Linked DNA regions of Drosophila melanogaster. The protein of the gene in region 1 interacts with the protein of each later gene in a pairwise test. Each region holds a gene or a part of one and is shown in the gene's direction. Other genes may lie near its edges.

Region 1 (10,581 bases):
TGTGTTAAATATATATAGGAAATGCTTTTAATCTACTTTTTGTAGGAAACCTTTCATGAAAATATGTGGAATCTCACGTTTTATAAATTAAATATAGTACAATACATAGGAAGGCACTATTTCTTGTATCATATACATCAACTTAATTTTAAGTCTTAGATGATCGATCAACTATCGCCTTAAATGCGACTTGTGTTGGAAATTGATGCGCCATACAAAGTATTTCTTTCCTTTTGAGGATATACTTTGTATGTACGTATTTTTCCTGCAGAGGCGCGAACTCTCCCCTTGCCATATAATTTCCGCCGTTTATCGGCCGATCCAGCATGCCGGGCATTATTTATATAATACTCGCACTGGTTTTGGTTGGCGATCGGGAAAAAAAAAAAAACAGTGATTAGATGGAAAGAAAACCCGCAGAACTGGTGCGTGGCTTTGGCCTTCTATCGTTTATTATGGCCATCTTTTCGCACACAAACGGCTGTTTCTATCTTTCTATTTTTTAATATGCACTGCCACTGCAGCCGCAATTTTCACTTTCCATTTTTATTGGCAACCGCAGGCGAGCGCCGTCAAATATTTGGCCAAAAAAGAAACTGCACGGCTGCCAAAAGGTTTTTACGTCTCCGCGCCAGCCTGGCTTTCTTTTAATTAAATTTTGCTCTTCTGTTTTCAGTTTCTTATTTATTTTTTTTTTTTTTGGCGGTCTTTTCCTGCGGTTTGTCCCCCTCATTTCTATGGGATCTGCAGCTCGTCGTGTTTGGGGTATTAGTTCTGGGCACTGGCGCTTAAAGCCGAGTCACGCCTGTCATATGCAGTTTGGCTTTTTCCGTCGAGCTGAGATCGGCTCGGCATTATGTTTTGTTTTGTTTTGTTTGGTTTTGTTTTGGACCTGGCTCTCTCTGATCTGCCCAAAAAGCTAACTGTAAACATTCACTTACTGACCTCTTTTCCCATGCGACGGCCACTTCCACCTCCACCTCCACTCAATTTTCTTTAATGCACGCGACTCCGCCGCCAATGATCTGCTTCTTCACCTTCCTCCACCCACCGCCAGCGCACAGTGGTTCCAAAACATGTGGAATTTAAGCACCCACAACGCATTTCCCAAAAATGATGATTTATTGCACAAAGTTTTAAGGGAAAGTACTCGTAAGAAAAAAAAGCAACATTAAAATTCTTAAAAAGATTGAATATTAACTTAAAGCTCATATGTCCCGAACCATGAAAGATTAAGGATTATGTTTTGCTTAAGAACATTTATTTACTTACTATTTATAGTTTAAAATATAACTTCATTTTTTATGTTACTAGCAAGTTATTTATTTGGGTAGCATTACTTTGTATTCCTTTTAACATAAGCTAGAATTACTTAACTAAAATATTATTATATCAAATATATAATACCTAAGACAATTAGATAAGGTCTAAGCTCTAATAGCTAAACTATGCCAAAATCAAATATTTTTGTGTGAATGCATTAGTAAACATGCACCTTAAATTGGCATCAGGACACTGTGCAAGGTGATAGTAGGCTATGTGTGTGTGACCCTTATTCGCAACGGCCGCTGAGGCGTAAAATTTATGGCTTTAAAGTCTACAAGTCTATAAACACAGCTTCCAGGCTGCACTTTCTACTGCAACTGCAACTGCCAATGCCAATGCCACTGCAACTGAATCGTGGACTCGGATCGTGAATATTGTATATTGGATGTGGGATGGTATGGCTTGGGTTTGGGCATCGGAGATGTTGGGGGAGCACGGACGTGGATGTGGATGCATCTGATCCGATCGAATCGTATCGTATCGAATCGAATCGAGTGTGTGAGTTATAATTTCAAATGCGGCGCGCCTTTTTGGCTGCATTTTGCTGCCACTTTTGGCAAATTAAATTTGTACGCAAAACCGATTAGGCCAGGCAGACATGACCAAGTTGTTATTTTAAATACCAACAACTCCATTTAATCAATATGCCCCGGCACCCAACAATGCACTCGAAAAACTTGTGGTAGTAAACCGTTAAAGTTTAAAAAGAAATATAGGTCTATTCAAAAAGATCAAGACTAGACTACATTTTTAACTTAAATTTACTTGCTCTCTTTACTGCTCTCAATATATGTTACATTTTGAAAGTTTGAAACTGCACAGACATGCATATCTTTGAATTGTATCCTTTTACAATCCACCATTGCTGTTATTGTACATTATAACTTTTTTATTATTATTCATATATATTTTTATTTTTTCATTGTTTTTCAACTTTAAAAACTTAAAGAAAGCGGTGCTTTTTGTCCTAACTGGAAATACTCTTGATTTAGTATTCAAAAGATGAGTGAATTGTTTCGAGTGTAGCTGCAACAACAACAGCGCTGGATGCTCTGCTCTGCCGTCGCCGACTGCGCTGCCTTTCACCCATATAAATTTCTTTTCATTGCAAATTTTTTGCCATTCGTCGGCGCATTGTCAAACCTTCCAGTCGCATTTGGAGCCCAAGCTTTCCGAGATTTCAGAGCGACTCTAGAGCGCACTAAACAAAGGCCTAAGAAAAAAGTTAAAAAGGCGAAAAAAGAAACAGAGGCAAAGACGACAATACGAATTGTACAAATCGGATGCGAGCGCGAGTGTGTTAGTGCCCATTCATTCATTCATTCATTCGAGAACAATAAAAAAGAAGAAATGAAATACGAAATGCAATCGCCGCAGTTGCAGTCGCAGTCGGCGTCGCAGTAGGCGTCAGCGGAGGCATCGGCCGAGGCAGAACAGTAGCAGCAGCATCGAAATCCGAAAGACAGATCATTTTTCATATGCGAATCGAAACTCGAAGAGCGCGCATCAAAGTCAAATTCAAACGACAAAAGAGTAACGGACAAAAGCGAATTGTTTTGTGCGCATAATAGAAACGAAAAAAAAAAGAAAAACGTTATAAAAAGCAAATAAAAGGAAAATAAAGCCTTACCAGAACCAGTAATTGAAATCAAATTAAAGGCGGGCCGTGCAAAAATCCACAAAACATCAAGAAAAAGCCATAAAGCCAAGGCGATAAAAAAGAAATTATGCTCCATTGTGCGATTGTGTGAAAAGGTCAAGTGCCCGGCAGGCAAAGGGAAAAGCGAAAGAGACAGAAGACAGCGTAAGACACGGGAGCTTGATGTTGATAGGCAAACGAATGAACTCGTAAAAGGGCGCTAAAGAGAGAGAGAGAGAAGGCAACACAACGACATCGGTTAACAAGAAGAGCAGGAAGAAGAAGAAGAAGAGCAGGCCAGGCCCAAATGACCGCAAGATTACCGTTAATTCGAACAGCTTAAGCGCCATTACGAGCAGTTATATAGTCCATATACTATATAGCACCACTATATCTCTATCTCCCTGGTAGATCGACCGAGGAAGAGAAAAAAAAACTTTCATCCACCGTGAGCCGCAGCCGCATAAAAGTTTGCTACTATTTCAATTTCAATTGTTAACGAGCGAAAGCGCCGCACGCCTCAGTCTCACATCACGCACGCATCCGATCCGAGCGGCAACAACAAATCATCAAGCGTCTAATAGGAAAAGTGCAGCAGACAGCCAGCGAAAATGCACCACAAACAGCATCTGCATCTGCATCTGCAGCCCCCCGCCCCAAACGCCACCCAAACACAGGCCCACGGACTTGGCCAGACTCCAAGCCAGATCGCCAGATGCAGCCATAACCACAGCCCCAGTCTGGGCCTCAGCTTTGGCGGCACCAAGAGCCAGCGACAGCTGTTTGGCGCACTCTTGGCCATGTTCACGTTGGCGGCATTTGCGTCAACCACCAGTGGTAAGTCGTACACTGCGAGAAATCCCAAAATTGGTGCTACACGTTGAGTAGAAAGTCACAGGAAGTAGTCTTAGATCATTCGAATCTCTTTCCTGGCATTCTCACTATTCAAATTGTTTAATTGCCTCAAGAAATGAATCAGCTAAAGAAGTATACGTTGATTCAGATTCAGCAAAGTTCCTCCTAACTAAATTAAAATCAGATTAAGATAAAACTAGGTTCCTTAAGCAGAGCATTAAGTCCAATATAATCATAAAAGAGAAAACTGACTATGGAACTCTTAAGCCATTGCTAAAGTAAAGAATGCTCTATTTAAATCCAGATTAGTTAACATTACATTTAAAAGGGCCTAATACAAGTTTCAAAGGGTATTAGTTTTCCTCTTGCTAAATGTACTTTCTCCTAACTATCACATCGTTATTGAGTTGCAGTTAAAACTGCGGACAGAGTTCTAGGGAAACCCGAGTTCTTCAGCGGAAAACGGCAACTGATCTTGAGCTAAATGAAAGTTGCAGACAGACTGGACAAGTCCCAGTGAGTGCCGTCTCAATTACCGCCTAATTTCTCCGGGTGTTGAAACGGAGAAGGTGAATCGGGGTCCGGATCTAAGACCTACAGCTGTGCGGTGGTAGAAAGGCCGTCGCAGCAGCTATTCAACTATCCATTTCTAAGGTACTACTCCGCACAAAGTGAATGTAAACTGGCACACATACACGAGCGCGAAGCTTCCAATGCCCCAACACCTCTCCCCCCACCGCCCCCTAGACCACGAACTCCCCAGTTTGAGGCACTCACTCCTCGACGCACAACATGCTCGTAAATATTTTCGTGCACAATTTGTCCAACATTCGTATAAATTCATTAAAAGCACGAAGGGGCCAAACAGAAGCCGGGGGCCTGAAAACGTAGGGGGGGGGGGGGGCTGGTGGAAGAGGGGCGAATCGCTAGCTCATGGGGGGGGGGGAAAATCAAGCTGACCGCACAGTGGCAGCGAGCTGGAAAGGGTTGGGGGTCAATTGGGGGGGTTACATCGTTTAAAGTTGACCCGAAGCGAAATGATTTATTTGACTTGTAAGCGCGATCGTTTGGCTAATTGATAACCGCACTTCATCGGAGATTGATGGGTGAAAGATCAATTAGTTTTGGATGCTGTGATATATGCTCGCATGCATATACACATATATATGTACATATGTACATATATGTTTTAATGGCCCCAATCAGTGGCGCCGTGATTCATTCATCTATGGGCTTGGTCATGTCGCTGCTCGCCACTGTGCCACACCAAACCGGAGCAAACCGAGTGCACATGGTGTGCTCCATGTGCATATATAGATATGTATGTACATATGTACATATATATATGTACATACCCAGTATATATCATGCAAAAGTCCCTGCCCAGCAGTGCAGTGCGTTGGTTGCTGGATTTTTCCACTTTTGAAAATTATACGGTGGCTGCTTTTATTATTTCTCTCGCCTTTTTTTTTTGCAATTGATGGCATCCGATAGGCAGGAGCCTGCCAGCAATTCGCTGGAGGCCAGGAAAATGCACCTGCACTGGGAGAAATCAGCAGAACATATGAACAAAAGGAAATCAGTAAATCAGAGGTGTATTTAAAATGCAAAATAGTATGGTGTATGGTGTTGTATAAGTTTGTACCATTAGTTTGCATGAGTGATTTGATTCTGAGTTTATCCCAGGACTAGTACCACACTTTTCTGCCAGTGCAGGATTGGTGAGAGTGGGTGGGGCGGTTGAGGTCGCATTGCTGCAATGCTGAATGAGATTGGCTGTGGTCTCGGCTTTTGCCTCTGACCATTCCAGCGGATCGTTTACATGTGCATTAATTCCTAACGCCGCTTAATTTTCTCCGCGCTTAATGGCTCCTCTGGATGCCGATGCCTCCGATTCAGATTCGGACTCGCATCCAGCCAGAGAAGCATCCGAGTCCATTAAGCTGAGAATGCGTCTGCTCGACTGACTGACTGGCTGGCTGGCTGGATGTTGAAATTTCCATCTTTATGGCCGGCAGCAGCAAATTGGAATAATGAACGTGGGTTCAATTATCGCAGCCAAACCATCGTGTGGCAGCCTCAAAGAGCGCTAATAGATTTTCTACTGCTGTTGGGTATGTCTATTTACGTTCGTATATCTTTAACTAAGTTGAGTGCTTCCTCCGGAGGCGGCTCTCACAGCTTTCTTTGCAAACAAAAAAAAAAAAAAAAATAAGAAAAATGGACAAATCAACCCAAACTAAACCAGCAGTTCCACATCCGACCAAAGACAACAGAAATGTTCGGCGCCGGAGGCAATTAGTGTGGAAATTTCACTTGCAGTTTTTAGCACAGATTAAGCTTACGATTTCTGGAGGGGATTAGCATGAACAATTATAGATGGAGGTCGCTGATAGTCCGTATGAACGAAGCGAGTGTATTAGCTGTGCTCAAACCACAGCCAAAACATAAATGCCATTGTGTCGTTTTACTTGGAATCGAGATTTGAAGACGGGTAACATTTGCCGTTGCCGTTAGTAAAAAGGGAAAGAATTATTCAAGTTAATGGCTGGTTACTTGAGTCGGTCATGCGATCACTCCAGAATCAGAGACTGGTCTCGGATGCGGGGGAGTGTCGGCGGGTGGCGGCATGGACACAGTGGGTCACAACTGCGCAAAATGCCCTATGATCGTGCGGCTAATCTGACATTTGTATGCCCACAGTTGACTCTTCCGCATGCCACCGCTAAAGAGCTGTGGAAAATGCGAAGGGAAAGTTTCATTTGGCGGTCTCGAAACAGAGTTACCCTGGGAAAATTCGATGGACAACCGGTCATTACGTGCGGGGAAGTAGTAATTATTACTAAGCTTTGTTTAATAAGTTCATATAACAGAGGAGGAGGAACTACTGTCTTGCTTTAAATGTTTAGAATTAAGTTTCTAGATAGAAACCAATTAAATTCTAAAATCATTTCCATCCACAGGCGCTGTGACAGACTCACCCATCAAGATTATCCGGCTGCCGGCGCAGGCGCCAGTTATCCGCTATCGCAGTGCAGATGCGGCGCCCAACTCATTGCTGATCAACTATCGTCAGGATGCGCGACCGGAGCTGTCGTCCACATTGATGCAGGCACCCGGAGCGGCGGCAGCTGCCTTGGAGTCGCTGCTGCGCGAGGAGACGGAGCAACAGCAGCTGTCACAGATGGGCAGACGGAATAGGGCTAGTAACACCGGCACCGGCAACTGTCCTCGATCCTGTCCACCGAGCATCACCGTGGGAGCTGAGCCCGTGTGCGGCAGCGATGGTCTGATCTATGCGAATATCTGCGAGCTGCGCAAGAAGACTTGCTCCCGCAGTGGAGTGTCGCTGATCAAGGACGTGCGGGATGGCTGCGAGAGGTCGAAGGGTTCGGACTGCAAGCACCGCTGCAGCACGGAGAAGGATCCAGTGTGTGGTACAGACGGAAGGACCTATCTGAATCGCTGCATGCTGAGGGTGCAATCGTGTCGCGTGGGATTGGCTGCAGTGAAGCTATCGCATGTGGGTCCCTGCAGCAACACGAGTGCCGTGCGTGAGTCCTGTCCGGTTGACTGCAACAGTGCGCCGAAGGATGGACCAGTTTGCTCATCGGATGGCAATGTATACAACTCCACGTGCGAGATGAAGCTGAAGACGTGTGGACAGGGTGTGGTGAAAACCAGCCGGAAGCACTGTCAGTCCACACGAATGTGCAGGGAATCCTGCTGGCGTGTGGCGAGGCCCACTTGCGGATCAGATGGCAGACTGTATGCCAGTCCGTGCAAGATGCGCTCTTCCAATTGCGGCAAGCACGTCTTTGAGGTTCCCTTATCCTACTGCATGTCGCAGGAGAGGCACGGAGCCTCCGATGCCTGTCCCACGGAGTGTCCCAAATCGGATACGGATTCCTCGTCGCAGTACGTGTGCGGCAGTGATGGCAACATATACTCTTCGCTGTGTGAACTCAAAATGCTCAATTGCGGGTGAGTTTGGATGAGATAAAAATGGAATATAACCAGACTAAAATTTTATCTTTCAGTCCACAGCGCAAGTCCATTCAAAAAGTGAGCATGGACAAGTGCAAGAATCGACTGACCCGCTGCAAACAGCTGCCTCCTTGCAAGGACTTCAATAGCTTGTTCGGTTCCATCTTCAGCTCGAAGCGAAATGACAAGCTCTGCGGCACGGACGCCAAGACTTATAACAATGAGTGCGAACTGGCCCACGCCACCTGCCTGTGAGTATCCATGATAGGATCATCCATAGGACATGGATCTAGCTCTTCAACTTCTTTTCAGACGCGGCGTGAATCTGGCCCACATTGGTCCCTGCACGGATCTCAATTCGCCCACCAAGGATTGCGGGGATGCCTGTACTCGGGCGGATCTGGAACAGCAGCCAGTGTGCGGCTCGGATGGCAACACCTTCGCCTCCATGTGCGAGTTCAAGCGGCGCACTTGCGATCTGCGTGTGGTGCCCGTTTCGCTAAAGAATTGCGCTTTAACCGCCGACTGCGAATCGGATTGTGATGCCCAGCCGCCAAGTTTCGTCTGCGGATCGGACAACAACTTGTACAAGTCCGAGTGCCACATGCGCAAGGAGAATTGTGGCAAGCATGTTTTCGTGGTGCCACTGAAGCGCTGCCTTGCCGCCTTTCAGCTTAAAGGATGTGCCCGCATCTGTCCCAGGGAATTCGAGCCTGTTTGCGGCAGCGACAATAAAACGTATCTGAACGACTGCTTCCTGGAGATCGAAAACTGCAGGGCGAACCAGACGGTGAACGTCAACTACTACGGCGCCTGTGGCCGCCCCGAAGCACCATCCACTAACTTCCTTTACTAGGACGTATGTATGCGTGGCGTCTTCATTTCACTTGGCATTTAATATTTGTAGGCTATAGTCTTGTATTGTACTTTTTTTAAAACGATATTTATTGAGTTTGAATTAAAGCCCCCCAACGAACTTACAAGGAATGCACTTAAAGCCTGGCCTGCATTTAACATCTAAGCCGAATCATCAAAGAGCTTGCTCAGCATAGCGTTGATCTCGTGCTGTCTGTACTTGACGTATTTGTCGGGATTCTTACTAAAATGCACTCCAGAGTAACTAAAAATGATACAAGATGGTTAGGTATAAGCTGATAAACCCTATATACGCTTACATTTCGTAGAATCTATTGTAGATGGGCAGTATGTGCTCCACATTATCACGTTTGATGCCTTCTCGCAGGATCACATCGGGTATGGAGATGCCCCGCTGGATTTTGCATGCCTCCTCAAAGTCCTTATTGAAGTTCTGGAAATTATAGAGGATGTTTTTTTTTAAATCAAGAAAGTTTAGCTTATTTTAAAAATAAAAACCTACAGAAAATCTCTCTTTGAGCACACTGCGATCCTTATCCTTGACCTTGCCGGCCACTGGTTTGGGCAGTTCATCCAAGGAATAGATGCCGACCAGCATCTTGGACCAGGTCTTTTGATAGCTAGCCTTCAGTTCACGTATCATCTCCATGTAGCTATGTTCGCACTCAGGCTCAGCCAAGGTGACCAAATCAATAAGATTGGAGCGTTGCAGCGACTTGAGGATATAGTGAATGTTATTTAGTCGGAAGAGGTGCTTGGTGGCCTGGTCATTGTACTGCTCGCACTTGTTCATTATGGAAAGATTCAGTTCGGCCAAAGCTTTCTCTGCAAAATATAGATAGTGGTTTAAAAATGTTCGCACAATTGATCTTGTTGCCACTCACTTATGTAAATCGCCAAGAGCGCCTTATTGCGTTCCTCGACTGGCAGCGCCTTCTTCATCAAAATGGTGTCCAATTGCGTGGAGTACAGGACATCCTGTGCCAAAATGGAACCAATAACATCGAAATGATCGTACAAGTGCTCAATAAACCAGATCGTATTGGAGGTCAGCTCGTGCACGGTGGCATCCTTTGGAACATTGCTTTGGCCCACAATATTGGTGCTCGATTCGCCCTTGACTACGTCCAGGAAATGCTCCAATGCCTTGGCACCGGTGTGCTGCAACTTTTTTAGTACTTTTTTCAACTGTTCCCTTTGCGCAGGATCGTATGTGCGGTCAATATCCGGCTGCAGCAGTATAACCCGCTTTAGGGCGGAGAATATTCCCAACGCCGAGGTCCACTCCTTGCGGGAAATGCAGCGCAGGATGCGTTGCGTAATGGCCTCAGCGTCCTTAACCACCAGATCGATGGCATTATAGGCCAAGGTGGCGAATACCTCGTTGTGTTTCGACTGGGGAATAATGTCGATCATGATGGCTCGCTCCCAGTTAAGTAACCGCTGCAGTCCCAGCAACATGACCAGATACTTGTCCAGTTCCTGATCGCCATCCATCAAATCCTCGGAGGTCAGGTGGTCGCTGTGCGATGATGCCTTCTTAATGGAGAACCCTGTGGACTGCTCAATCGTCTGCGTCGCGCGTAAATATAACTTGTTCGCCTTCTTTTCGAATCTATGCAGAATAAATTAAATATATCATATACGAAAACTTGGAAATTAAGTAATATTTCTCACATTTGCTGAAGACGAGCGGAGGTTGTCTTTTTTGGCTCCGTTTGGCGTCCACTGTGTCGCGGTCTCTGCAAGAAAACATTTTAAAAACATTAATTTGAATTGTTAATTGCCATTGCATTAATGTTTCTTCGGAATAATTAAGGTACTAAAATGGTAGCAAATTAAAAACTCTTATTTTTGTAACCTTTTAATATGCATTTGATTCTTATGAGTTTATTAAT
Region 2 (7,334 bases), 7.5 Mb from region 1:
ATAATGTATATAAGACACCGAATTACTAAAATGGCACAGCACATGCCCTAATAAAGCATATAAAGCACATTAAAGTAACGACATTAAATACCAGAAACAATATATTTTGCATGGGCATCAAATAAAGCTTTCTTAACCGATACTTGTATAAATCGATTGGGACGAAATATATATCTATGTATAGAACGGATCGGGGATTGTACAAATTGCTGGGTTGCATCAGAGACAAAAGAAAACCTAGGAGAGAAATTCAATTGGAGGTGGTATATTTTTTATTGAAAAACAAGTAGAGCATACAAGCTGTCCAATAATGCACAAATCGCATGCTTTCGGCGACCTACGATAGTCTTTCTCTTAGTGTGAGAAGTGTTTCGCATGGCAACCCCACAAACAATCACATTGAATCCTTCCCTACCTTACTTTTGAGTGGTTTTCATAGTTTATAGATTCTTTTGTAACACACCCAAGCCAATCAGAGTTCTTTTTATAACGCATACGATGATTTGAAACTAAAAGACTTAAGATATCGACATAAAGCTAATGAAATCCAAACAAAAAACCGTCCATTTATCCACTTAAAGCTAAAAACAATGTAGAAGCACCTCAGCAATTTGTGGAATCTACTGGATAAGAATGTAAGGGAAAAACTGAATATTGTATGTAACGTGTAAAAGGATATAGATCTATACTGAAACTGTGTATGACAGCAATATCAAAATAGTCAGTTGGGGAGTATGAAGCGATACTAAAACGTGATTAGAACAAATATTTAACGACAAAATACGACAAGTTAATAAACGCTTAATGATAAACCGAGTTAAGGTCGCGTAAAACATAATAAATATTAAACATACCTATTTAAGAGTATTGAATCAGTCAGTACTTGAGAAAAAAAAAAACACACGAGAACGAACTCAAACAAGAATCATGCAATAATATTGAAATGAAATTACTTTCTAGCATTAACTACGATACATCAAATTATTTATCGCTCATCATATGGAAAATACTCAAGAAGAAACGCATTTAAGCTGAACATACATTCAAAATTAAGCTCACCGACTTGAAGAGATGGCATTCATATATTTATACATGCATATATCATATACACCTCGATCATATTGTATTCTGTATTTACTTTCATATACAAGAACAAAGTCCTACCAGCATACCCAACATATACGAAGTATACATCTATATGCCTCACCAGCATTCGTACATCCATATATATTTACATACAAGCGCATTTAATACAAGTTACATTTCATCACCACAATTGTACCATAAGAAATGTAAAGATCATATTTTTCACTCGAGATACTAAAACGTAATAACACTACACGTAAGCATTACTAAACGCTCTGCAAACTAAACTCCAATCGCGGCTACGAGGAAATGTATAATGATAATTGCTTTATAAGGACTCCAATCCAAACACCTAATACTCAATGCTGCATTATGCCACGCCTACCTTTTTACCTTAACTGACGCCTATACTAGATGATCAACCAAACTTTCGCGCTCTTCTCAAAAACATAATCACCACCAAACCCAACTAACTCATTTTAACTGCTTAGCACTGTGCAATGAGCAGCGAATATTTGCGCCGAGATAATTTTATATGCAACGTATACATATTTCTATCTATAGTATATATATACACCCCGATATATATATACATATACACGCATTATACACCAAGGCAAGCGCTTTACTTCAGATGCAAATGCAGTGCAATGGAGAATGTTTATTACTCATTACAAAATAAACGATTCGCATACTTATTAAAATACATTTAGAGGGTAATGTTGTGTATTGTACTACGCTTTTTACGTTGTTGTTTTTGTTTTCCCCTGCGTTTCAACATAATATTGTAATATTGTAATTAGTTCTGCAAGTGATTACGGCTAAGTTAAATACTGCATTGTGCGCTTTGTTTTGTATCTTCGGATATAAGTTGAATGATTGTATTTTGTAATTTAATTTTAAGCTTGAGGAATCGCGTCTGAGGTGGATGAATTGCAGCCAGGCCGAGATCGAACCATACAAGAGATAAATATTAGAACCAACAAGTGTAAGGGAAACAACAAAACCAAACAAACAAAACAAATAAAAATAAAAACCAAACAAAGTGGCATCTGTTATTAGGTTAAAAGAATTATTGATATTGTTTGCAAGAAAATGTGTGAAATATATATAAATACAAATAAAATACCACTTAGCATAAAAACAAACCGTGAACAGACAAGCAAACAACAACAGATTGTAATTGCAATTTAAAAATAAAATTAATATTTCAAATAATAACCAAGCCGTTTTAAATAAAATGCCAATGGGAAGTTCTATGTGGTGTATGGGGCGTATGCGTAATTTTATTAAAAGTCAGCTGTGTTTTATATAATTTAAATCGATTTCATTTACTTTAATTGTTAATTGAAGTAATTTTTTTTGTTGTGAAGTTAATTTTTATTATGCAAAAACAAACTTATTTTATATATTTGTTGCCTTTTTACAAGTTACTTAAATATTTTAATTAAAAATACATACATTCTATATCACAAAATATAAAAAATATCTTAAATAAACATCTCATCATTTTTGATTGCTAGAATGCACAACCATCCCACTGTGCGACGTGCATCCGCAAAGGATTACGTCACTTGCCGCCGCGTCTCCTTTTTTTTTTTTTTTTTTTTTTTTTTTTTTTTTTTTTTTTCCATATTACGATGATGTTTTTATTATTTGATCAACGCACTGTTACCCATGCGGCAACTTAATTTGATCTGCTTAAATTATTTTATTTTACAATGTGTCTTGGTTACTTAAGACTAACAGATTTTTAATCCTAAAAATGATAGGGAGAATTATAATAGTTGATATAACATAGTAATTATTATTTATTTGATTATTCTAATGAATTTTAAAACTAAGACTTTCTAGGTCAAAACCAGGTTAGGGAGGTCATGAGGGTGGTGTCGCTTGAGTCTTCTTTTGACTCTAGTCCGAGGGTCAGCATTGACCACAGCTGCAGTTCCTAGCTTCCTTGCTAGGCTGTTGGGGTGTACATTAAGCCTTTCCATATATTTTTGGGCGATGTTCTGGAGCTTGTCTCCTAATTTGGGCACCTTGAGGTCGCGTTCGATGTCTCTTGTTCTCATATACCAAGGAGCCCCCGAGCCGCCGCGTCTCCATCGACACGGAGACTGACCCTCGGGCATCAGCTGTTTTTACGGACGAAGGATGACGGGGAGCCATAGGGGGAGCAGCGGTGCCGAGGGGTCGAAATGCCGCATGCACTGGCGGCAATCAGCTGTGAAGCTTTGGGGCACTCGGAAAGCTGCCCAATTCAAGGAGCTTCGGAGAGAGCCGGCGGTGAGCTTTGGCTCCGAACGGGAAAATAGGAGGCGACATCGAAAAGCAAGCGGCGCACCAGAGACTTTTCGGTGTTCGCCGCGCTTCGTCATCCTGCTTTTCCGCTTTTCCGAATCGAGAATGCGTGCCAAACTGCATGAAAAGGAAAACTTGGTCAGTTGAGGTCTCAGTTCGGGTCGGGTTTGCAATTCAACAGCACTGCGGAAGCGGAGAAAACTCGTCACCAAAGCGGACGGGCCAAACAATAAGCCAGCGTAGTAATATCGACTTCACACCGCCCTCGATATATATATAATATATATATATATATATATGATATTCGCAAGAAAACGGTATCGGAATGATATCCAAAAGTGCCAACCCATTGAGGGCCTAATCCAATGTGTTGGAAAATGATTGAAAATCGCGTGGAAATTGCAATGTGCGAATTGAAATGTGTATTTGTGTTTTGAATTCTTAACGCTCAACCCAAGTGTTTCCATTTTTTGCAGTGAGTGAGTGAGCGAGTGAGTTATGTAAAGCTCTGGTGTTGGGTTCTTTTCGGTCTTCGCGTTGGGTGCGGGATAGTAACCCATACCACCGCCCGCAACAATAACAACAACAACAACAATTGTAGCAACTGCACCACCAGTAACAACAAGAACAACCACAGCGAGCGTGTGAAGCGACAATAAGTGTTGCAAGATTGAGTGGCTTCAAAAAAGTGGTCATTAAAAATTAAAGCTAGAGAATTAGGATGCAAAGAATTGGGATTTCAAAACTAGGATTGTACTGGCGGTGAAAATTAAGTATACGCACCCACGGACCACTGCTAATTTATGCATGAACTTGAAAACTGAACACTTTTAGTGCATTTTGGCGTGCTAAGCGATAATAAGTTTATGATGCACTAAAAAATATTTAAAACCGTTTGAAGGTCAAGGAATAAGAACCGAATATTAGATTTAATTACATTTTTCAAATAACTAAATTGTCGGTTCAAAAAACCTTAATTCGACAATTCAAATTCTTAACTTTACTTGGTTTTGTAATACAATTTATTTGAGGAAAATATTTCAAAGAAATTTTGAGTTTTAAATATAAAATATATAAGTAAAGCGGCTCAAAAGCATTTATTCGAGATATTAAGTATACGCACCAGAGACCACAGCTTGCAGCATATAGAAATTGTAATGGCAAAAAATATAGTAAATACTCAGAACACTTTTGTTTTAAATCATATAAATGTATTTTTCAAATTTTAAAATATATAAAATAAAATATATATCTAATATATATAAAACAAAAAAATTAAATATATAAAATATATTTTTACAAATCAAAGAAAGGGTTTCCTAGTATTAGCACATTACAAGACAATTATTTAAATTTGGAAAAAGTTTTCAGACACGCAGACCCGAGTTTAAGTTTAGGAAAGGCCGCCGCAGAGCTACACTATTTTATATAAAGCCCCAAGTTATCGCAGCTTACCCCGCGTGGGTAAATCAATCAAAAACCATTTGCAGTCGCTTCAATCCCCGGCAATCAGCCCATTGAGCAAGCTTTGTGTATCATAACACAATCAGTTTGGGTATCGGCATCAATTACCAATTATAACTTGACAATAAAATCGCCAAGTGTCCGCATAAAGAGCCCAAAAGACACTCACACACACACACACACTCAGCCGCCAATCAATTCGCTTTTAGCGGTCTCCGACTATTTTTAGTTGCACTTGCTTTCCTTTTTTCTGGTTTTTGTGTTTTTTTAAGTTTATTTTACTTTGCACAATATTAGTGTCAAGGTGCAGCCAGTGCATAGAGACAGAGATGGAAATAGACTCCGTGACAGAGACGGCGACAGTCGAGCCAAAAGAGCAAGTCAAGAAAGCGCAAAAGAAACCAAGAAAAGGGGCGAGAAAATGGGAACCCCTTTTCTTGGCGGCGGCGACGACATCGCGAGAAAGCAACACACGAAAAGGTGGCTATCAAAAAATAATAACAAATACAACCACACGATGGGGAGGGGTGTGGAGTGTAGGGGCGATGGCGGTGCATTTTGGGGGTGGCAAGTGGGCGAAAAAGGGGGGATCTCCTCACGACTTGTCACATCGAACAGAAAGAAATTGAATTTATGTCTTGGGTGGGTTGCCTTCAATGACAATAAGGCTGCTATAACCGCAGGTCTCTCTATATATGCCAACGCTAAGAGCACTGGTAACGGTATAGCTATAGCCAACAGCCAACAGCTAATGCCAACGTAACGGAACCGTGGCGCGTGTTTCGTTGGAAGGTAAATCGCGTTAGCAACAACAACAAGGATACGCAGGGCTCAGCTTTCAGGCTGCGACCCACATTACTTAAATTACGAACTACACGCAAAGTCGCCGAAAGCCCACACACAACTGGGAAAAGTCACACACGCTGGTTAGTCATTCCCTCAGTCAGTCAGCCAGGCAGTCAGTCCGTTCGTAAGTCAGTCAGTTCGTCACTACGTCCGTCATTCAGCCAGTCAGTCAATCATTAGCCAAAACGAGCCTTATGCGTCAGCCAGTATGTGACCTACACTCTAAGGATAATTTGGTATTTTCGAAATAACACAAGCTTTATTTAAAGCTTAAATCCTTTTCAGGCAAAGGGGACTAAGTAAAATTTATTTAAAGCGAAATAATTTAGAAAATCAATGAAGAAAAACTCGTCAGGCATAAGTAAAATTTTATTAGTGAATGAACGCATTTAAAAGTTAAAATAGCAGTGCACTGGAATATCATTAAATTACAGTATATAAACCAACAATTAAAACACAGTTTTCATTATCATTTACTTTAAAAACATTTATTTAATATTATATCTAGCTAAAAGAAAAGAAACTCCTTTAAAACGCTGGTCGATTTTGAAACTATGTTTTTTGAATAGTGAAATGTCCTCGTCCTTGCCACATTGCGTGCTCTTGGGTGGAGCCTCCGCCACAGAAGAAGAAAAGTGGATACGGAATGGAGGGAGGGATGGCGGGACGAGGAGACATGTTGCATATTTCGGGGCGTGTTGGCTGCCAGACAAAAATGTCGTTTTCGGCGAAATTCCCGGCATTCCAATGCTGTGTTAAGGACAGACATTGAAACAAAGGCATTTGTCTGACCGCCACCCTCACAGTAATGAGATGAAAAACACCGAAATATACTCAACATTTCTGTAGCGACGAGCGGGTGAATTTGTTTTAACAAAAAACACAATTAAATTAGGTATATTGCTTGCTAAATGCCCAACCATTACCCATACACATGGTATATTTTCTAGGTTTTGCTTTGGTCCGCTGCTTCGCATTTTTGCAGTTCTCTTTGCACTGCTTTGGTTTATTTTTAACATCTTTCCTCGGAGCGTGCGAAAAAATTTTCCCCTTTTATTACATTGTCTGCCGCAGATGATGCGAAATAAATGGATGATAAGGCCAAGACAGAGGTTATTTACGATCTCTTCGGTGCATGCAAATGGGATACCTATTTCCTTATGGCCATTTCGATAGTAAAATTCCAAAAACTGCATCATAAACGCTCCTATATATATTCGGATTGGCAAACATTTTGCCCTAATTACTTATAGGTGCAATGCCAATTCAGTCCACTGCCAAACGGGTTTTTTTTCTTGTAAATCATATTATTTAAGCGCAGTATTTTCACGCAAATACGCCTGGCAATAATATAGTGTATAAATAAATAAAAATAGTTCATTGAGGCAGAAGACAAACACGATTTTTACAGCCTGCGCTGTTTATTCGCATTCACATTCAAGGGGTATGTAAAATATATGTCAGTATAGGAAGTGCTAGAAATTATTTATTAATGAATCGCTGGGAACAGGCAAGTGTACAAATATAGGCTGTATGGACTGTTTAAGGTGGCTGAGTTGAATCCAAATGAATAATAGAATAATGATTTTGGTATGAGGAACTCGGGAAAATTGTTTTCTATAAATTCTAGAGAGTAG
Region 3 (6,077 bases), on another chromosome or scaffold:
TTGGATTACAAAAGAATTTAATCTTTTGCTTTTTTATGCATCATCATGGATACAGATTTTTAATCGCAACGTCGTACGGCGAAATATTTTATTGCTTTTTCTTTTTGGTATTTTTTAGTAACATAAAAATTTTTCTCTCCACACATTTGTATATTAAAAGATGTTGTATTAAATCACACTAATTTTATAGTTCGACGAGTATTTTGAATATTTAATTTATACAGACAAGCTTTATACTTTAATAATTTGAAAATTTCCTCCGTTTCACTGCCTCTATTTATCACTTATATCGAAAACAAAAACCAAATAAAATTAAATTCTATTTTGCACAATAATTGGTTTGAAATTCGAAGGGAAAAGCGTTTTCGAGCGTTTAGTTTTGAAAATATCTCGCGGTTGAAGTGCTAGAACGGCTGTTTTAGATACGCTCGCCTCGGCGCTGTGATAAGGACTGAAGTCCTGCCGAGGACCTTGCTCGGCGAAAGGAAGTGGCGCAGGCTCGGAAAGCGAAACGGAAATGCGGGAACTCACCACAGTGGTGGGTTGGAGAGGGCGCCAAACAGCTGTGATGCCGGCAACCGTTATTGTTTACGTTTTCCCAAATGAGAGAGAAATTTTCGTACAAGTTGAGAGCAAGGCAAAGCTTGAAGAGAACGGGGAAAGCGTTTAAGGCGAAAGCTTTTGTATTAACAGTAGCTTAGCTTAGAACTGCTCAATCGAAATTCTAAATCGCTCTGTTAGCCAGGAAAACTGCATAAATTAGTGCCGACATGTGAACCAAAAATTCAATTAAAACTTTTTATTGACAAATTAGCATTAGGAATGCTAGGAAAATGTACAAGGAAAGGGTAACAAATATAGGAGCGAACCAATCAGTGAATGTGACATAGGATGCCTTTCCCTATGAGATTCCCATGAGCAGCTTACCTGTTGGGCTGGCTTATAAATCCAAGTCCCGAGCCGCACGGTTAAGCAATTTAACCTGTGAGTGGTAGGGGCAGGGCACCCACAACCTGGCACGGACATCAATCATTCTGGAAGGCAAGCGTTTCATTTGGTAGGCGAGTCAATCTTGTGAGCGCCACCTTAACCAATTACCTAACCGCAGATGAAAAACCGGGGGGAAATCGTGGGAAAAGGGGACCGGGCTGAGTTCAACCTTTGTTTGCTACCCAGATAAGACTTGCCACAAACATCCCGGCCTAAGTTATGCAGAGCGACGCACTCGAGCCTAACCGTACTGGAAATGGATCTGGAGTGCTGGTGCCGAGTTCATAAAATATTTATTTATGCGGATGCTGCGGCTCGATCTGGGGGCCCAAAGACTGATTGAAATGGCGAACGAGTTCATTTGTGTGTCAGGAGGTCGTCTGTCTTCTCATTTGTTAAACGTTTTGTGCGGCTGACGACGCAGAACACATATACATATGTATAACCCTGGATTTGCGCAATAATCAATCATAATGAATGGCCAGGTGGAGGTGGTCAATGGGATACCAAGCCCCCCGCCACCACACAAAATGTCAAATTGGTTGCCCTTAAAGTTTGCTCTAACTCTCACCTTCGTGGCCCCAAAAGATTGAGGAAGTGGAAAGTTTTCTCCTTTCCTTTAAGTTGGCAAAGTTTTACCCAACTCAGATCCTGACGTATGTATTTATTGCCGCTGCCTTTTGTTTTTTCAGCCATTAAAAGGAAAGGTGGGAAAAATTTTCACAAAGTCATAAATGCGTTCAACTTGGCTTAAATCCCCAGCGACTATCTACTGAAAACTGTGAAAAGGATTTTATCCGTAAATTTGTTATATTGGGAACAGTCAAGCTAACCCGCATAGTTTATTTCCTAAGGTTTACTTACGAATCAATATAAAATGTTTTTTGTCTAAGGGTTAATTACCTGGAACAGAGAAAAGAAACAGCAATTAGGCTTAGTAAACAACAATACAGTATGATTGTGACAAATTTCTTTATTCCAAATTCATTTTAAATATAGTTCTCGGGACATCTGGTTTTCGATAAAAGGTCTTAATTTATCCGTGGGTTCCTCCTATTCAGGGTTCACAACGGCGGCATACGAACATGCCAAAAACCATGCCCATCCCAAAGCATATTACATAGGACATGATTGTGTTTACTAAGGAAGGGAATTTGAATATCACAAGATAACGAATGGAATTTACAGAGACTTACGCGGGTATTCTTGGCGATGAGGAAACCAACGATGCCACCAACAACGAATGTTATAAACCGCTGCATATTTTAATGAAACTTGAATTCCCGAGATATTAACGGAAAATTTGTCTTATTTAAGAGCATACAAAACGTACACTTCGTTCTGACTGTCGATGGGAAACTGATTACTTTAATTTGAAGCACATTATTATAATGGAAAAAACCAAGCGTACTTGATTCTATTGTAATTTACCTTCATAATTTTGCTGAAAGAATTTTCTAAAGCGGCTCCTATGTATTCTGCGATATAAGATAACCCACAACGCAGCCAATAATAAAGATTAGAATCCATTCCATTTCCGCCGATAACTTTAATTTTAGGTGTTCGAGCGACCTAAATAGTTCAAAACGAATACGTTATGAGCTGACTTTACTAGAAAAGCCAACTTATTTGATACGGTAATGAATAAGTATTCATGTTTAGCAATGCTTACGAAAATATTGATTACCTTATTGATTAACTTAATGGTCATTGAGAAAATCAATCCCAATTTCCAGTCCCTTTTCTGCCTGCTATGGCACTGAGCTTGCTGCATGCTACATCACTAGCTGTACTGCTTGCAAATCTTCCATTCTCAAGCAATTCTCCAAAAATATAATGAATACGAAAGTTTAAATTTTATTTATTGTTCATTTTAATATATGCAATGTTCCTCATAATTGATTTAAGTTATAATTTTCTTTTTGGGAGCTTAGGCTTAGCACTTTCGGCAGCTCATCATTCCGATAATCACGCCCAAGGCGAAGGATATAACGTGCGTCATTTTGATTTTTTCTTAGGTTTCGAAAGTAAGAAAATGATTTCAAGCGCTTGATACCAAATGTTATCTTCCCAATCAAAATCCAGTCCAGTCGGGATTTTGAATTTCAGGATGGCATAAGATTTCAGGCGAACTTTACCCAAAGATTTCTTGCCTATCCTCAGGTATTCTTGGCCACGACGTATCCCACCAAACAGCCAGCTAGAAATGTAATTACCCAATCTACATCCATTTTATAAAACGAAAGTAGTGGGTTTGGAACTTGTAAAGCCTAAAATAAACTAAAATTGAGTGGTTTGAAAAAGCCTACCACAAATGCAAAGGAGCTCTTACCTTTTTCTAATTATGCTTGCCTATCAAATACCCCACAATACAGCCTACAATAAAAGTGATGAACCACGAGTTATCCATAATTTTCAGCCCTAAAGTATCAGTACTTTTTGTTAGGTCTTTTTGAAAAAATTGTTAATTTAGAATTTTGCACTTTAAAGCGACAATACTATCAATGAAATAGAGACTAAGGAGTTTGATTTTAATTTTAGAAAAATGCATTTTACATAACGTTTTGTTTTTGGCTTTGTTTTTCAGATGTATTAGAAAAAAGGATTGTGACTTTAGCCTAGACATTATAAAGAAGAAGATAGGATGCTTAAAGAAGGATCCATTTTGAAAGGATTGCGGTCGAAGAAAGTACTGGTGTAATCTTAAACCTTAGGCATAATGAGTGTTAGGTTTTATCAAGTAGTTTACGAAATAAACGTCAAATACTTAACTCACATCCAAAGGCAACACAGGCCCCACTGTTCTAAATTTCCCATTCGGCTAACATCATTTTTCTGATTTTTTTTTTGGCGTAAAATTAACACGTTATTAGAGGGACCCTGTGATTGCGCGGACATCTAATCCATAATCCTTTGAAGATGTGCGACAAGCCCGCCTGCCCCCCGCCTCCGCGATGCTGTCCTCCGCCACCGCCTCCCTGTCGCCCGCCGCCCACCTTGTGGCAGAAATTGAACTGCGTTCCGTGCAACCGTTTTGTGTTCTTCATGATCGGGGCGGGCATCGGATTATTCTGGGACCATATGAAGAAGGAGGCCCAGAAGGCGGCCGAGGAGGCCGCGAAATCGCCCAAGGAGAAGGAGAAGGAGGCCAAGGAGCGCGAGAAGAAGCAGAAGGAAAAAGAGAAGGCCGAAAAGGAGAAGGCGGAGAAGGAGAAGAAGGAGAGGGAGAAGAAGGAGAAGGAAAAGAAGGAGAAGGAAAAGAAGGAGAAGGAGGCCAAGGGCAAAGAGAAGGGCAAGGAGGGCAAGTAACGACTATAGACCCCCAAACGGACATGTCAAGGAGCAGGATGTTTTCCCCCAAAATTCTCATCGAATCCATATCGTTTCTAAACTTCAAAATTTTCAAGTGCATTATATGGCATACCTAACGATAACTATTGGTCAGTCCATTGCCGCGTTGATGGAAGGCTTCTTTATTTACTATCTAGTGTCCACCCTTATAATTCCAGATCAAGTAACAAGATCGGATGGGATATTTAACTGGAGAGAGGAAATGCCTTTGCGAAATTTGGATAACCATATCAGGCTTAAAATTATACATCACCCGAAAATTGAAATTTACATTTTGGGTTCGTGATGATTTTGAGATATGATCATGATCTATGTTCTTACCGCTAAGGCTTTCTAATACGTTGATATTCTATTAAAAATTGTACAATGAATACACACCAAATGTATTGCCCTCTGCAAGGACCCAAAATTAGTAAATTTATCTAAAGTTATTCAACAAAAATTTGAGAATATTTGTGGTTGGTCAATCAGACTTTAATTATTATACAAAGCATAAGATTGCAATTTTTAATTGTAATAGGCACTTAGTTATCGGTAAATTCGATGTTCATTTTCATAACTCGTTACTCGTAGTTTCGTTTAAAAGAAAAAGAATTAGAACGCGTTTCTTGATCAAGATCAATAAGGAAGTCGATCAGGTGCTCTGCAAATTTTGTTACAGGACGATTAATGAAATAATCAAATCATGTCACTAAAGTACTATTTACAAACATTTAGCGAACAATTGCTCCCACAGATTTGAATAATGAGCCCATATTAAAAACACAGTAAGTCTTGTACAGCACCAATTTTATAGCATTTTCAACAGAGGAATATATAATAGAGAATAGATCAATCGAATAAACCTGTATTAAATGTGGCAGTTAATTGTTCGATTGACAAATTGCTCTTTAGATAAATTTATCGACTGAGAAATTTCCTCTCCATTCCATTCATCGGCGGACAAACTTATCGAATGGCATTTTGTCTTCCCTGGCTAACGCTGCAAACGGTTGGGTAACTTCATGGGTGATGATGAGTCCAGGTTCAATTAGCTAGTGCCAGGCTTGGATGATTGATATTACCGCCGGGCATGGCAGATCGGTCAGTCCTACTTCTTGGCCTTGCCTTCGTCCTTCTTTTTGCCGCCCGACTTGTCGTCCTTGTTGCGCACGAAGAGCACGCCCAGTCCCACCCCGATGACGAAGAACAGGACGCGGTTGCACGGCGTACAGTTGAGCCTGGCAAGGAGCGACGGCATCGGCCGGCACACCCTGCGGACCTCGGTACGCTTACAACAGGGCATGGCTGCAAAAGCTCGACAGGATTTGCCACAATTTAGACCAAAACTGGAATCGCTGTCTGATGGATGTTAAATTAAAACCAAACACGTTATAAATTTTGTGTACGTCGAAAGTCTGATATACTGATTGTAAAGCCAAATAAACACTGAGCTATGTCAGAGCTGCCGCGTTGACAGGACGTTGAAGTGGCTCGAAGTTTGCCGACTCGACTACTAGATCAAAGACATAATCTTGCGGCTTATGGCTCATTTTCGCACAATAGATACGCACCTAAGAAGATCGTATTGATTTCTGCCAGTCTTGCGAGTGATCGGTCGGTCTACTTCTTCTTGTCCTTGCCCTTCTCCTTGGGCTTTTCGTCCTCGGAAAAGGTCTTACCGTACCACAAACCCACTAGGACGCCCGCAAAAACCGCAGACAATCGCTCGCACATCAAATGCATGGTGTTGCTAG

The links. Proteins that work in one complex are often made in the same cells at the same time.
Region 2: the proteins of CG32354 (region 1) and pHCl-1 interact in a two-hybrid assay, tested with the Drosophila melanogaster proteins (one large-scale study listed by BioGRID).
Region 3: the proteins of CG32354 (region 1) and CG46298 interact in a two-hybrid assay, tested with the Drosophila melanogaster proteins (one large-scale study listed by BioGRID).

What each region holds. Positions count from the first base shown.
Region 1 is NT_037436.4:8,414,062-8,424,642, reverse strand, and holds CG32354 (uncharacterized protein), read left to right. Parts: upstream 1-2,437; 5' UTR 2,438-3,576; coding exon 3,577-3,802; intron 3,803-6,783; coding exon 6,784-7,804; intron 7,805-7,860; coding exon 7,861-8,058; intron 8,059-8,119; coding exon 8,120-8,663; 3' UTR 8,664-8,786; downstream 8,787-10,581. Other genes in the region: Exo70 (exocyst 70), read right to left, coding at 8,825-8,927, 8,983-9,116, 9,186-9,508, 9,568-10,298, 10,361-10,425.
Region 2 is NT_037436.4:15,895,127-15,902,460, reverse strand, and holds the start of pHCl-1 (pH-sensitive chloride channel 1), read left to right. Parts: upstream 1-3,540; 5' UTR 3,541-3,629; intron 3,630-7,334.
Region 3 is NT_033778.4:10,349,607-10,355,683, forward strand, and holds CG46298 (uncharacterized protein), read left to right. Parts: upstream 1-3,761; 5' UTR 3,762-3,909; coding exon 3,910-4,299; 3' UTR 4,300-4,430; exon of another isoform or gene 4,431-4,499; 3' UTR 4,500-4,783; downstream 4,784-6,077. Other genes in the region: CG46305 (uncharacterized protein), read right to left, coding at 2,048-2,119; CG43172 (uncharacterized protein), read right to left, coding at 2,128-2,130, 2,187-2,252; CG43200 (uncharacterized protein), read right to left, coding at 2,460-2,525; CG43178 (uncharacterized protein), read right to left, coding at 2,927-2,992; CG43171 (uncharacterized protein), read right to left, coding at 3,150-3,221; CG43201 (uncharacterized protein), read right to left, coding at 3,329-3,400; CG12902 (uncharacterized protein), read right to left, coding at 5,432-5,626; CG43397 (uncharacterized protein), read right to left, coding at 5,944-6,066.